3 linked regions of the Daphnia pulex genome follow. The protein of the gene in region 1 interacts with the protein of each later gene in a pairwise test. Links are inferred from orthologs where the notes say so. Each region holds a gene or a part of one and is shown on either strand. Other genes may lie near its edges.

What was found.
Region 2: the proteins of growth factor receptor-bound protein 2 (region 1) and son of sevenless homolog 2-like interact in a two-hybrid assay, tested with the Caenorhabditis elegans proteins (3 studies listed by BioGRID). The link is inferred for Daphnia pulex from reciprocal best matches to the Caenorhabditis elegans genes sem-5 and sos-1.
Region 3: the proteins of growth factor receptor-bound protein 2 (region 1) and tyrosine-protein kinase Src42A-like interact in a two-hybrid assay, tested with the Caenorhabditis elegans proteins (3 studies listed by BioGRID). The link is inferred for Daphnia pulex from reciprocal best matches to the Caenorhabditis elegans genes sem-5 and src-2.

The regions. Positions count from the first base shown.
Region 1 is NC_060028.1:9,113,769-9,119,239, forward strand, and holds growth factor receptor-bound protein 2, read right to left. Parts: upstream 4,257-5,471; 5' UTR 3,861-4,256; coding exon 3,783-3,860; intron 3,696-3,782; coding exon 3,598-3,695; intron 3,527-3,597; coding exon 3,407-3,526; intron 2,222-3,406; coding exon 2,056-2,221; intron 1,979-2,055; coding exon 1,805-1,978; 3' UTR 1,166-1,804; downstream 1-1,165. Other genes in the region: 39S ribosomal protein L46, mitochondrial-like, read left to right, coding at 1-83, 151-352, 414-550, 610-1,031; protein brambleberry-like, read left to right, coding at 4,648-4,956, 5,030-5,158, 5,221-5,406, 5,465-5,471.
Region 2 is NC_060018.1:8,053,388-8,058,340, forward strand, and holds the start of son of sevenless homolog 2-like, read right to left. Parts: upstream 2,801-4,953; 5' UTR 2,543-2,800; coding exon 2,435-2,542; intron 2,372-2,434; coding exon 2,108-2,371; intron 2,037-2,107; coding exon 1,953-2,036; intron 1,882-1,952; coding exon 1,801-1,881; intron 1,695-1,800; coding exon 1,212-1,694; intron 1,141-1,211; coding exon 219-1,140; intron 152-218; coding exon 1-151. Other genes in the region: uncharacterized protein LOC124205699, read left to right, coding at 3,816-3,857, 4,077-4,149, 4,239-4,332, 4,388-4,660, 4,772-4,953. UniProt on the Caenorhabditis elegans protein: Promotes the exchange of Ras-bound GDP by GTP. May regulate signaling pathways downstream of receptor tyrosine kinase, egl-15 and let-23.
Region 3 is NC_060027.1:2,733,815-2,738,651, forward strand, and holds the start of tyrosine-protein kinase Src42A-like, read left to right. Parts: upstream 1-2,037; 5' UTR 2,038-2,646; coding exon 2,647-2,797; intron 2,798-2,862; coding exon 2,863-3,124; intron 3,125-3,679; coding exon 3,680-3,801; intron 3,802-4,178; coding exon 4,179-4,342; intron 4,343-4,417; coding exon 4,418-4,586; intron 4,587-4,670; coding exon 4,671-4,837. Other genes in the region: ankyrin repeat domain-containing protein 39-like, read right to left, coding at 134-567, 645-738. UniProt on the Caenorhabditis elegans protein: Non-receptor tyrosine-protein kinase which may play a role in larval and pharynx development. Unlike src-1, does not play a role in embryonic development.

The sequences.
Region 1 (5,471 bases):
TTGCTTTCGATCTCATGCTTTAGGTAGCCTATCACTAGTTAAGAATGGTTTTTCAATTAACAAAGTCTATCAAAATCCAAAAGGTAAAAAGCTTAAAATCATTCATTTTTTAACGCTTTTTGATGGATAAAATAAATTTTATGTTCGTAGTTTTCTTGAGAATGTCGAGTGCTTCTACATCCAGTTCTTCACCCCAAAAATGGGAACTTCTTGGTGCAATTTGTCTGGAAAGAACACCAATCATTGTGCCTCCCATGACCGAAATTGAACAACAAATTAGTGAAATGATTGAGAAGTTTGATAATATGAGAAGCCTCAAATCAAATCATGAACTAAGACATGAAGAAGACAAGTAATAATTTCAAATACCATCAAAGATTTTAATTTTAATATGAATAATTTCTTAATTGTAGGAAGCTACAAAAAATGGCTGCAGATGGAACTCAAGATGAAAGTAACCCAGATGCAGCAACAAGGCAAACAGCTCAAGACTTTGAAGATGCTTGCAATGAAGAATTTCAAAAATTTAAGCCTGCCCCAAGGACTACAGGTAATAATATAAATAATAAAGTTGACTAACAAGTAATTCATTGACCTACTGTAAACTAGCTGAAGATTTGAGTGGAGACCAGAAGTCCACCAATCGAAAGCTGGATAAGCATTTGCTTTTTGTTGTGCAAGAAAAAGACAAGAAAGTTTGGAAGCTTCCGGAAAGTAGGTGGAGGGAAGGGGAGACCTTACGTGAGACCGCAGAACGTGCACTTAGAGAATACGTGAAAACTCCTGATACGTCAGTGCGAGTATTGGGCAATGCTCCGTGGGGAGTACATACTATCAAATATCCGTCGTCAGTTCGCCAAAAGCTTGGTTTTACCGGTTCAAAAGTTTTCTTCTTCAAAGCCCAATTGCTTTCTTCTTGCACTACTTGTTCAGACATAGAGTATAATTGGTTGGGCAGAGAAGAGCTTACAAACAGTCTCGAGCCCGAATACTTACGTAGCGTAAGAAAATTTCTCATCGATGAAGATTAATTCATTAAACATAGTATTTGTTTAGATGCATCTTTAAATACACAAATTTTTTTCCTCTTACACATTCTACTATTACGAAACAATGAACGCAACAGGTAAGAGTTTTAAATCTGACGGAGAAGAAGACTAAAACATTGGTTTGCACATTATATTTTCATCAATCAAGATACTGTTCGATGTACAAGTATAGCATGGTCTCAAGCTAGTTCATAAGAGTGAGAGTTATGAAGAGGTTATCGATATAGGTAGAAAATCGAAATTCACTTTAAAATGTCGACAAAAAAGGGAAAAGAGCCAATAAGATAAGAAGAAGCAACAGAAATGACGGGCAAACTTAATAGCCCAGTAATTGTTGTCGACGTTATGGATAAGTTAACTTATCTTTCCGCAATCAAAACCACACAAATTGCTCCAACATGACTATTCGACCAAAGCCACATCTAATGGCAATCCCGAAAGCTGTGTGCTTGAGGGGAAATACAGTCGAAAATCGAGGTTAGAACAACATAAACGGAAAAAAACTGAAAAGAAAGCAATTTTACAAACTGCTTTCAATGAGAAATGAGATGCAATCCTGTCAATCCTAGCTGTTCATCACTTTTACTGTTTTGTTATCAAAGTTAGTAATGTGTTTAGGTTCGAAGTCGGCAAAAATAACTTGAGTCTTAAGAACGGACGCACCACTTTAATACAAAAAGAAAAAAAAAATGAAGAAAAATTTATGAAGAAAAGAAAAGGAGCAAAAGAAAACGAACGAACAGTGCCTTCGCCTTTTAAGTATGATACGGGGCAACGTAAGTGGCAGGAAAGAGGCCGCGGCGGGCGCCAATTTCTCCAGTCCACCAATGTTGATCAGAACGGTCTGTCACAGTTATGACGTCGCCTCGCTTAAATTCCAATTCACCTGGTTCTTGCGGGGTGAAATCGTATAGTGCCTGCACCAAGAACTGTCGAAAATTCACACAACAATTGTTAGTCAATCCTGAGCCTAAAGGCATGGAAAAAAGAACAACTGGTAACTCACCTCTTCAGGCACCATGTCTCGTAACTTTATATCCTGAGACCGAGAAACAGATGTGGAGCGATGGTAGTCGACCAGTTCGTTGAGCGAGTTGAATTTTACCACCCACAAAAAGAACTTCCCTTGGGCATCGCGAAGTACTTTGAAGTGCTGGACACCATCGCCACATCTGCGAGACAAGAAAGAAAAAATAGAGAATAGCCTATTAACACAGAATGCACGTAACAAAGTATTGTGTAAATTTCAAACTAATTTCGAACTACAAGGAAGTAGGATGATGGCTTCCTTAGCTATAAACAAAACACACTCATCCTACAACTTAACGGGCAAAAACCTCAAGAAGGAATAAATAACACAGCAGGGCGATGAGAGAATTGTAAAAACTAAAAATGATGCAAAACTCCGGTTCAAGGCACATATATAGTTGCTTGATTACGGACGGTGGCTCAGTGGTAAGGGAACTTGACGAAAAGGCCTAACAGATAGAAAACAGAATGTACCCTAGACACGCCTAACAAGGCTAATAAAATACCAAAAAGGATAAAACTAATTACTGAAAACAGTAGGACTGACGGTTCATGAATCACGAGTCACGACTTAAGCAAAGGGTAGTCACTGCACGAGTTCCAATTTTACAAGCTGTCTTTGTTTTTTTAAGGTAAAACAAAATAGACAATTGAGATTCATTCCACCTTTGAAGTGAATAAAATTGGAATGTAAACGGATGTGTGCGTCATCAGGTTGACTCATGCACTGCATTTGGAAAGAATTCTTGCGTGATCAAATCAAATTTCTACAGAAAACCAAATACCCATGATTCTTTGAGGGAAATAGAAATAAACTGTACGTTCGGTTCATTAATTTTCTATTCAAACGCGTCTTCCTAGTAAGGTAGAACTTGTATCGTACAGTTTGGAGAGCGAGATTATAAGATATTTGATTTTACACTGATGAAAGCCTGCATGTTTGAAATTCTTTTCACGCTTCAAATGTACGTGTAGCGTCTAATCAGGATATCTGAATGCAAAGCGATATTTCTCAATATGTTTTTATAATGTGCTATTTCTACATAAATATTTTGAGAAATCTTCCCGTTTTAGGCAGTTAACGACTTACAAGCTTAGTTAATAGATGTCAACTTATCTCATTCAGATGTTCTAATGATAAGTAGTCTGGTATGCCACAAATAGATTTCAACAACATTTGAGAATAGGCAAATAATAACATCAAACATAGTAGAAGAATTCCTATGGGGCATTTCTAAACTATCTAGAGCTCTTGGTTAAGGATTTACACTGTCTATGTTTCTAAACAAAATCTATCACATTGTTATTTTAAGAACTAGATAACATACTTAACAGACAGGGAAAAGTCTCCCGGTGAGCTCTCACTGACTCTAACAACAAAAGCGCCTTCATGTTTGTTGCCCAAGAGTTTCTCTGCATCAGCTCTGGTTATTCTTCCATAGTACCAACTGTAGAAAATAAAACAACAAGTTATAATCAATATGCATTATTTTATCATAAACATTTCAACTAGGCTTACTCATGATTTTTCATTTCAATGTAGTTACTAGGAATCAACCCTTCTTTTCCATCCAATTCTGCTCTATACCAATTCAGATCATCTTCCATATTCAGAATCTACATTTGAATCAAATGAACAGGTTAGAATATTGCTATAAGCAAAAATTCCTTAAATTCTGTTGAAAGCATCATTGCTTGGTTTACCTTGAGAACTTGCCCTTTTCGAAAACTAAGCTCATCTTCAGCAGTGGCATTAAAGTCATGTTTAGAATTGGCCTCCATCTCGAAAATAACACGTTTTATGAAATCACAGATGATAAAGTATTTCTTGGCAAAACAAGCTTCAGAGAAGGAATTTCCTTTTCAAGGCTAGGCCGGATGTGCACCACGGCTACGTTTATCAAGTGAAACGGTTGTTGGCCAATCACCAAAATGTTTTGACTTCGTTCAAAGTCGAATTACACTTCTCGAAACTCAAAAACGAATAGCATTTCCCACAAATTGTTTGACAATATTGACTATCAACTGACGTATCCGTATCCACGATTGTTTGATTAACTATACACTGTTTTCGGGGCCCGACGAAAGCCAGACAGCCATAATTTTGGGAAACAACTTAGTTCTTGGCTTTGACGCACGAGCGTCACCAGTCCTTTTCTCCCAATGGAATTTTAAAGGTAAATGCTTGCGTGCCTGTAAACGTTTTTTATTTTTTCTAACTATTTTTTTTCCAAATGACTGAAATTATTTAAAATATTATTTCAATTACAGGAATATACATTTTTTATAATACAACATAATAGATGAATATTTTAAGATTTTAAATATTTAAATTTCCGTCGAATTCTTTTGGAAAAAGCAATGTGGCAACGTTATCTGCCTCATTTGAATAAATGCAAATGGTTTTCAAAAGGAATCTCGACCCAGAGATTCAGACCAGTCCGGACTTGAATTTAGAAAAGCAACGTGCAGTTCCTTTTGACTAATTTTATCGACCAAACCCTCTTACAATCTTATACAATTATTGTCAGATGATTTTCTCTTATATTGCACTGTGATTATTACAAAAATGAAGATAACTTTATATTTAGTGGCCATAATTCTCCTAGGAACTGGTAGTCATTCTAGTTTAGTAGGTTGGATTTTAGGCAGAGACAGCTCCCCTTTTAACATTTTGAGTAGTGAAAAACAATTTGATAAGCTTATGGCTGTAGCAAAAGAAGATGATAAGATTGAAGTTTCTGAACCTGATGAGAGTGCTGTGCAAGCAAGGTCTGATATTCCATTTGAGCTGTCTGTAGCTGATGAAAAATTCATTGCCGATGCACAGAAATATACTGACCTTAGTCTGAGCGAGCTGGATGTTTGCCAGCATAAAGTAAGTAAAGTACTTTGATGTTGATTCAAAGTACAATCTCACTGTTCATTAATATTAATGAACTCGTTTATAGTTAATCCTTCAATTGAAGCAAGACTGCAATGATCTCTCAGAGGAAGATTTGTCTAAGTTGGGTGTGAATCTTTTAAACTGCCAATCAAGATTGGAAGGGCGGAGAGTCTACCCATGCTCCTCTTCAATGGCAAGTTTTCTAATTAATGTATCACTTCAGCTAGTTGTAGCTAACCAGTTTATATTTTTTAGACTTTAAGGGAATGTACTTCTGACATGGATTCCGACACCTGGAATGCCTACCATATTCTATCCAATAGAGCAAGATCAGTGTGCTACGGTGCCCGCCAACAACAGTTTAGAGCACTGACTCAAATGACAGTCAACAAACTCATGGCCAGTTCTAGTCAACAATTGGGATTCATTAGAGAGCTCAAGGTTGGTTTCTTTATTGATTTTCATCACAACTGTATTGTATCTTTTTTTTTCCTCACAGGCTGAGC
Region 2 (4,953 bases), on another chromosome or scaffold:
GGTTCGAGCATTTCAAAGCGTTCAATTAGCAATTCCAATAATTCCGTCGGACTGCAAAAACTTCGGTAAGTGGTAAGGAAAGTTCTGACCAGCATCGGATCAGCGTACATGTGGTACGTCAATCTTTCAATGAGCTTCAAAAGAGTTGCGCCTGAAAAATTCCAATGAAAAACATTTGAATAACACATTTGAAACATTTTCATATGAAAATAAAATACCTTTGATCAGTGGTACACCTCCATTTTCTCTCGTTTCAAGCACCAAATTGGTTTCTGAATCTTCTTCAGCAAAACGATAGATGGAAGGTGGTGGCAACCGCAAAGGATGTTTCCTCTCTTCATCAAGCAAGATGACATCCAAAGTCCGCTCCAGCATAGACTTAGTGTTGAGCATGACAAGAGCTGCCATCCAATTGGCTTTTTCTTCGGCCGTTCGAGTAAAGAGGACACAATGTGGCTGTTGTCGAGGTGCAACCTCGAACGCATTACGCAGTTCATCTGTGTCTTCTCGATCCAAAATTTCGACTTTTCGAATGAAGAATTTCTCTTTTAGGCGATAATCACCCCCTGGAGAAGCGGCTGATGACCGACGGCCATGACCGGAAGCTTTGCACAGCAAAAGGAGACCATCGAAGAGGAAGGCATAACGTTCTGTCAACCGTTTTCCTGCTCCTACTTTGCCGATTTGACCTTCACAGATAAATTCGTTGCAAGCTGGTCCGGCGTCTTTACATTCCCAGCCGTCGATTGAACGTTGAAGTTCCTGAAGTTTACACAAGGCAGCAGGCCTGCTACTGCGCGGGCCACCTAGTAAGCCTGTGCGGATTAAAGGTCCAGCAGATCCAATGCCGCCTGTTTCGCTCGGCTTGCGTTTCGGAAGATTAACTCCGACGCCCGTGCAGGAAAGTAATCGTTCCAGCTCGACTTGTAGTGGTTTCAATAGCCCTTCCACTTGTTCTAAGCTTTCACGATCCTCTTTGCTAACACTGAGTCGATGAAGAAAGCGTACCACGTCAAAGTACGTGAAACAATGATAAACAGGCGTCAAAAGCAGCTTTGGCAGATAATAACGAACGGCTTCACGGAAACCGTGACCACCCGTTTGCAACGAGTGACCCACATCCGGTCGAGAGAGTACCGCCTGTAGAAACAATAATCAAAATTGCAAACCCATTTCAACTTTGTTTCAACATTCAACCAAATTATACAAACCTGTAACGTTTCGCGACAAGTGGGTGAAAGAACGTCCTTGGCATAACGATCGTAGACATCGAATTCGGCTGCTTCTGCTAATTCTTCAAAGCAACTGCCAACAGGAGGTGCTGCAGCCTGATGAGGCTCCTCGGCCATCTCTAGAGTATCCTCTAAAGAACCAAGGAGCGTCACTGTCAGTTCATAAATTTCTTCAATGTTGGAGAAAATGGCATCCAATTCAGCTGGACTTGGTGGTGGAGCAAGTGTAGCCAGTTGTTCACGAAACACTTTCATAATCAGATGAAGGTCTCGAAGGTACTGGCGTTCCTCCTGGATTAAGTCGCGTACCACTTGGTCGTAGGTGATTGTAGTTGGAGATGGTCCTCCCGATAAGCCAGGACCACCCATGCTTCCGGGAACTCCACTGGTGCTCGGTGTTAGTGGTTCATCTTCTATTGAGAGCTGATCATCATCGTCTTGATGAAATAAATCCATCAAAACCTGCAAAACGGAATGTTTGTTAAACCATGACAGAGGGGTTAAAATATTCGGGAGATAGAGAGGAAAGATTAAAGAAAAGTTTGCAGAGTGAATTCCTTCGTCATACCTTATCAGCACACATGGCAACTTTGATATCTTGTGAAGCCACCTTAACATGACGAATGTTTTTGACGTAATTTCCGGCAAGCTAAGGAAAAAAACGAATAAAAAATAATAATGACTATAAAGTTAACTAATTTTTTGCTTTAAATAATTTACCTTGAGCATATCAGCAGAAATATATTCCAATACAGCAACCACATAAAGTGATACTTGGTGGTCCACTTTATACTGTAAAACCTCCTTTACATTTAAGAGTTAAAACAAAGAATTGATTATGGAAGCTAAAACAACAAACAATCAATGAAACCAACCTTTTGCAATAAGTTGTGAACTTTGTCCACAGGAAGAACAATTGGTGATTTTTTCTTTCCCTTTTCTAGGGCAGCTTGGGCCTCGCTGATGGCCCAACGATCAATTGGATTGGGAAAAGTTTTTTGTACACGTTCCTCAACATCTTGCACAGTGTGAGGTGGTGGTCTGGCACACAACATTCCCAGTAACTTTAAAATAAGTCTTTCCACATATTCCAGGGCATCATCTTTGGCCTTGAGAGTCGGATGAACCTGGCTCAGTACCTGAATAACCATTACTGATCAATACTATCTGGTAAGAAGAACAAATAACATTTCTTGGTTTACCTTGTGTAAAGAAGCAACAAAAACTCCTTTCCATTTGAGCGCGTTCTCTTCATCGTCAAAATCGTAGAGGAGTCCCTCAGTCACGGGGACATTTGAAGAGGAAAACATGTCGAGAAAATGGAAAGGTTGAAAACTGACTTCTTTCAATAGTAATTGGAGTTAATTTTGAGTAGAAGTCATGATCACGGCCTTGACGGCAATCGTCGTAAGAAGAGTTGCATCGTCACACTAGATAAAGTTCAACGGGCAGTTGCATTCATTTTTGGCACATCCAAATTATAAAATGCACGTAATATTTAACAACTTCCCGTCCAATCTACGACTGTCACTGTACGTGTAGTCGTGTAGTAACTGAAGAGCTCCTAGTGCTCAAATCCCAAACCAATTCCGTTTACCAATTTCCAAAACCCAATAGCTAGCTCTAGCTAGCCAAAGTTTCACAGTCTACAACCTACAACAAAAGAACATAAAAAAAATTCGGTAAAACACGGGATAACAGATTGGAAAACGAGGGCTAAATCATGAGAACATTTTATGGAAAGAACGTTAACAAATTTTGTTTTCACTCGAGGCTTCCCGTCGGAATTCGTTGTAAAATATAAAAAATGGGCAATTAAAAAAATCTACCGCTAAAAATATGTGATTTTTTTTTCGGGATGAACCACAACATTTCAAGTCTGAAACTACGACGTTAGATAAAAATTGCTATCTGAGTATTTGATCTATTGCATTTCGTCCGTGTAAACTCAACGTCTTGTAAATTCATTTTGTCTTGTAGAATTGCCACTTCTTTGAAAAAACTCGGTATAAAATTGGATGATTTTAACGGAAAAAAAGCAATGTATGCTGTTTGGCCTGTTTCCATTCACTCATTCGGGGGAAACCCATCAATAACACAGCACAGCTAATATTTAATTTACCGCGACAGAACAGTCAATGCCGAAATTTTTTCATACCAGGGACCAGGGAAATTCCTTTTTATTCTTTGACTCAAGACAGTTAGGAAACAAAGAAATATTTCTTAACTCATTTCTATAAACTATAAATCTATAATCTATGAACAAAAGCAATGTGTGACAAAAAATGGTCTTAGTAATTTAGCTATAGTCTGTTTGAAAATCCGGCTATTGTTCGCCGTCGACGACTCCCATATTTTAGCTTTCCGCATCGAGATTCCTCGTTTTCAGTTGCGTTATTTCGGCACATAGGCAACCACTAACATCTTGGCATTTAATCTGATGTGGAAGAAACAGAAAAAAAGCTGCTGCTTTAAGCAAATGAGACTCTAGTGGCCTGCTTTTTCTTTATAAAATTTCTTCTGCGTTTCACTGTTAATTAAATCATCCTTGGTTACATTTGTCATCTACCACTGTTTATTAGAATGCCCAGCAAAAAGAAAAAATACAACGCCCGATTTCCGCCTGTGAGTTCTAGTTTGTGATCTTCATAATACTCGTAACCGCTCATCTATTCCAATGTAGCGTACATGGTTCAGTTTTTGTTGTTTATTATTGACTTTGCTATTGATTTTTCATGTTTCATTGACATATCATGTCAGTATGAAAAAAAACTAACAACATAATCATAACGAGATCAAGTTATTTACATTATTATTTGTTTTTTTTTTCTTTCTTGGTGTTAGGCCCGGATAAAGAAGATAATGCAAACAGATGAAGAAGTTGGGAAAGTGGCTGCACCAGTTCCTGTTATCATCTATATCCTTTTTAATAAATTTTTTATTTACTATTTTTCTTTATTTTACCGTGAAATTCCAATGTTTTTTCCTTAACTGAATTTTATTCACCTAGAGCATTGGAGCTTTTTGTAGAGTCACTCCTTACCAAAGCTGTACAGATAACTTCAGCCAGGAATGCCAAAACACTCAGTCCTGCTCATTTGTAAGACTGGTGATTTCAACTTTCAGTGTAACCTAATAACATGTATTTCTTGTAGGAAGCAATGCATTTTAGCTGAAAGTCGATTTGACTTTTTGAAAGATCTGGTCCTTACCATTCCTGATGTCCAGGCAGAGGGCGAAGATGGTGGCGTGACTAGCGTCCCATCAACACCTACTGTTCAACAACACCAGCCGTTAATGTTCCGATCTCTCAGCGAGGCGGGATCGTCTTCATCCACTAGTAAGAGTAAAGGAACCGGAACTGGGAGGCCAAGGGGTCGCCCCAGAAAAACTCCTGCCGCCCTTGCACCAGCACAGAATAACCAAAGGTTTTAATTTTAATTTTCGTCCCTGGAATTAATGCTGCGTATCCTTGATTTCTATGAAAATTAATTAGGCGTACAATATCGAGATTAACTTATTCCATGATGTGATTTCAGGGCATGGGCAGCTAGAAAGTCGGACAGCGAAGAAACTGATTCTGGGGACTCGGAAGATGATGACGATGATGAAAACAACAGCACCGACACTGAATCCTTGCCCAAGGGATCTTCATCCTCCAAGAATGGTAGAGATATCGCGTCAGCCACTGCCCAACAAGCATCTTTTCAGTTTAATGCCG
Region 3 (4,837 bases), on another chromosome or scaffold:
CACGCAGAATAAACAAAGAAATTAAGTTTATCGAGTAAAACATGGGAAAAATCGACGACTTAAGAAATAAAGCACAAAGTGGAATGTTGAAAGGCACTTGATTGGTTTCAATCATTTACGTTTGAGAACAAAATTAAGCAGTTAGCAGCTGTTTTAAAGTGGCACTTGAACAGCAGTCTTTTGGTAAACGGCTACGTAAATCTGAAATATGGGCAAGCTGCGGATTGTGAGATATCAATAGTTGACATACATCTGTACGATTAGCTAACGCTGCTCTATGAAGTGGAGTACACCCATCAGAATCCTGTAATCCAGCATCTGCTCCATTCTGCAACAGAAATTTTACCACTAATAAATGTCCTTGTTGGCAGGCGCGATGAAGAGGTGAACTCTGATTATTCCGTGTAGAAAGATTAACATTAGCACCATGTGCTACTAAGTATTTTACAACTTCCAAGTGCCCAGCTCTTGAAGCATAGTGCAGAGAACTGTATCCTGATGTGTCAACTGCATCAGCATTCATCTTTTGCAGAAGCTTACTAAGACGGTTCAAATCCCCATCAAGTGCTGTGGGAACAAGATACAGAATACAATGAGGTTTTAGTTTTCATTAATTGGACAGAAGAATATAAACCAATTATTACCAGCAGACCACGGTCCTCTTTCAAAATCCATTTCTTCTAATGTTTGACTCGCAGATGCAGTGTGCTGGCAGTTGTGATGGGTGCATTGCTCCATGTTTTATCCTTTAATCAATCTCTGGGGCAGAATCACTCCTGTAATGATTGATTTAAAGTTAAGACTATTTAACACAGATAATTTGGTCAAAACTTTACTCTTCTTCATCAGATGGCTCAGGGCAAGGTTCTGGAAAATCTTTACGCATAGTCCACACACAACTATCAGGATTCACATGAAATGAGCTTATGACTCTGTATCCCAACACTTCTAATGCATTTAAAAGCACAACTGGGTGATGACGAAATGAAACTGTGTGCACATCACTCCCCTGTTCATAGGTAAACCGTTTCAAATCTTCCAAATCACAAGCTAAACAAAACAATATTTGTTGATTAAAATGTTTAAATTTATTATGTTAATTGAATCAAGAAAATACCTTTTAATCCAGAAATTCCTACTCTCCATCCTGGAGGGATTGGCGGTTGTCCAGCTACGCCGTTTTTGTTAGGGTTCAAATTTCCAGATACAATAACATAAGGCATTCGTCTTCTTCGTGAAAACCGAAGTTTTTGAAATCAACAGCAAATTTCTCTGGTGCAGTAAACTTCACAATAGGTAAACTTGAAAGAAATTTGAAACTGAACTGAAAGAAAACTTTGTCTTTTTCTTGGCTTGACACTTTGTCGTTTGTTGTCAGCAAGCAGTTGTTTCAAAATGGCGGAAACAACTGACGAACGAAATGCGTTGTCATTTCTGAAGAATCAATCAGGTAGAAAGATCGAATGAAGATAACGATAACCGTTGACCCAGTTGAAGAATGATAATGTCAAGTGAATTGCATTTTTTAATTATTGAAAAAAACCTGTATTATCAATGCTTGAAAATTCCTAATTTTAGGAAAAATTCTCATGAAATAAACGGAAATACCACCCGGACTGCAGAGGGGGAAAGCCGGAAAGGCAAGCTGAACACGGTACTGTAGTGTCCTAAATTTAAATTTGGAAATACGGAAGCAAGGTGTAGTGATAATCTGTTCGTGGAATCAACAGAAATAGATTCAAAGGTAGAAAACTAATTTGCCTCTTAAACATTCATTTGAAAGTCGCGGTCGTTTGATGAAACTTTCGAAGGTCCGATGCGTCAAGGCAAAGCTTCTTACGATCATGTTTTTTAATTTTAATCAATTATAAATATTTTAAATTTTATTTTTTTAATTGCCTCTTTTTTTGTATTCATCTTAAATGAAATATCGAATGTTAATTTTGAAAGAATCATCCTCGAAAATTCGATTCTAAATTTGTTTTCGCTCTAAATAGCATATATTGGTAGAGGACTCTGCTGATGCAACTACATGTTTACGTTTACTCTTTGTTTGACTCGTGGCCTAAAAGTATTGAGATTTGAGACTCCCAAGTCCTGGCGATTAAAAACATTGTTAGACCCATTTGAATATTTGAAATGAAAAACTGATATTTAAACTCCTACCGTCCTATGTCAGATAAAATAATGAATCGAGTTTTTTTCTATCGTTACTACAATTGAAACAGCCAATTAAAATTGTTTTCAAGTAAGTAGCGCCATCCTGTGAATCAATTCCGAAAGAACTCGTTGAAAAAAAAGGGAGGGGCCTACCGCTAAGCGTAGCCGCTAAGAGTCGCATAGTTTGTTGCCTCCGGTCTATAGGTGAATGGATATTTCTTTTTCTTCTTTTATCGAACACAAGAAGACTGTCAAGAAGTCATTCCGTGCAGTCGGGTTTATTATTTCGTGTCCGAATTGATTGAGAAGGAACTTGTCGGATTTCGTCATAATGAAACAACAACAGTGTCGACCAATTGTATTTGTTTTGGTGTAGGTGCTTCGGCTTCGTTTTTGTACTGGGTGTGTGTGTGAGTGAGTGGTGTTTCTGATAAAGAAGCACAGTTGACATTCTTGATTGTCGTAGACAGATAGTTGAACGACAAAATGGGGAATTGTTTCAGTTCGGATCGTCGTTCAGTACCAAGGGTTGAAGAGCCACCCATTGGTGGTGGAGTGGGGGGCCAATTTCTGCCGACACAACCTCCTGTTCCCAGCCTCACACCCAGCCAAAATCACATTGATCAACCATTTCCACGTAATTTCTCCATTTGTGTTCCAAATATTGTCTTGTTCTTTAAACGTGGAATTTTGTATTTACAGCAGGTCGAATCATCCCTGTGCCGTCACTTCCTGCTCCTCCAGACCTCCAAGATTCTCTGAGTTCAACAGCAAAGGTCTTTGTGGCATTGTACGATTATGATGCCAGGACTGATGAAGACCTAAGCTTCAAGAAAGGAGAACATCTTGAAATTATCAATGACACCCAGGGTGACTGGTGGTTGGCCCGTAGCAAAGCAACTAAACAGGAAGGCTACATCCCCTCCAATTATGTGGCAAAGCTCAAGTCTATTGAAGCTGAACCGTAAGTTTCGTCTATTTATTTTTAAAATTGTAAATGTATTCCAGTGAGACTAAGTTTTAAAAGAAAATAGTCAAAGCAAAAACAACAAAGAGAAACAAAACAGGAAAAAGAGGAATGTAAATTACCACCTGTATGTTCCTGTGTAAGATGCATGGCCTGGGGGGTTATTTACCTGCTCGGAGAAACAGGTAACAATGGCCTTTCCCATTCACCGGTTGAGGCCGTCTCAAGGACATTGGGGCAACACATTTGGGCGAGGAAATAGAGACACGAGTACATCCACGTTGAGTTTTCCCCTCAACGATGATCATATGTTGACAATATCTACACAATCTGAAATCGGAAACTCGAATACTATCTTGTAGGAACCAGTCCTCGGCTTAATCCAATCCCATAAAACAAGTCGATTTCAAGGCTATAGTAGGAAATGAAGGGAATCGCTTCTGGGCTGATTGACTTGTCTGCGTTCTATTTCTAAAAGTGAACACTTGCCTTAGCAACTGGCCACCTAACATCTGTTAATCTAAGAAAATACTTATTTATTTTATTTTATAGGTGGTATTTCGGCAAAATTAAGCGCATCGAGGCTGAGAAAAAACTGCTACTTCCGGATAACGAGCATGGTGCCTTCCTCGTTCGTGATTCAGAGAGTCGCCGGAATGACTATTCATTATCGGGTACGTTTTCATATTTTTGTTGTCGTTATTTTTTTCCCTTACTCTGGGCCGTAATCGATTTGAATGCCATTTCGGGATTGGTTCTTTCGCAATTCATGTTTACCATTCCTTTTTCTCAAAAACGAACGAGGCCGATGGCGTGTTACACAATTAACAGCGCTTGATTGAACACGTTTTCCCTTGAATTTCCGTGGGCAGTACGTGCGTCTTTGTCAATTATTTTTCTTTCGCGGTCACCTTCTTTTTTTTTCCTCTTTGGTATTGTCACGGTCACTTTGATTTTGTAACTTTAATGCTGGCAATTTGTTACCTAAATATCGGAATGATGCCGAAATAACTAGATGGCTTATTTCTGTAATTATCAATCACTTGTGCAGTTCGCGATGGCGACACCGTCAAGCATTACCGAATCAGACAGCTGGACGAAGGAGGCTTTTTCATTTCCCGCCGAACAACGTTCCGAACATTACAAGAACTCGTGGAGCACTATAGTGCTGATGCTGATGGACTATGTGTCAACTTGCGCAAACCTTGTATCCAGGTAAGAAACATGTGTTATGTGCTCGTCGTAAATCCCATTCTCATTGCAAATGTTTCTTCATCCTGCCAATTATAGATTGAAAAACCGGTGACGGCAGGAATGTCGTATAATACTCGCGACCAATGGGAGATCGACCGGACATCGCTCAAATTTGTGCGCAAATTGGGTCATGGACAATTCGGCGAAGTCTGGGAAGGACTTTGGAACAACACCACACCCGTCGCCATAAAAACGCTCAAGCCGGGTAATTCCGAACGGAAATTGCGCAAAATTCCGAAACGATTCAGAGAACAGATTTTGATTGTCACGCTATGAATCTTGATTTCAGGAACAATGGACCCCAAGGATTTCTTGGCCGAAGCGCAGATTATGAAAAAGTTGCGACACTCCAAGTTGATCCAACTTTACGCCGTTTGCACGGCCGAGGAGCCGATTTACATTATCACTGAACTCATGAAAAATGGTAGTTTACTGGAATTCCTCCAGGGTAAAGGA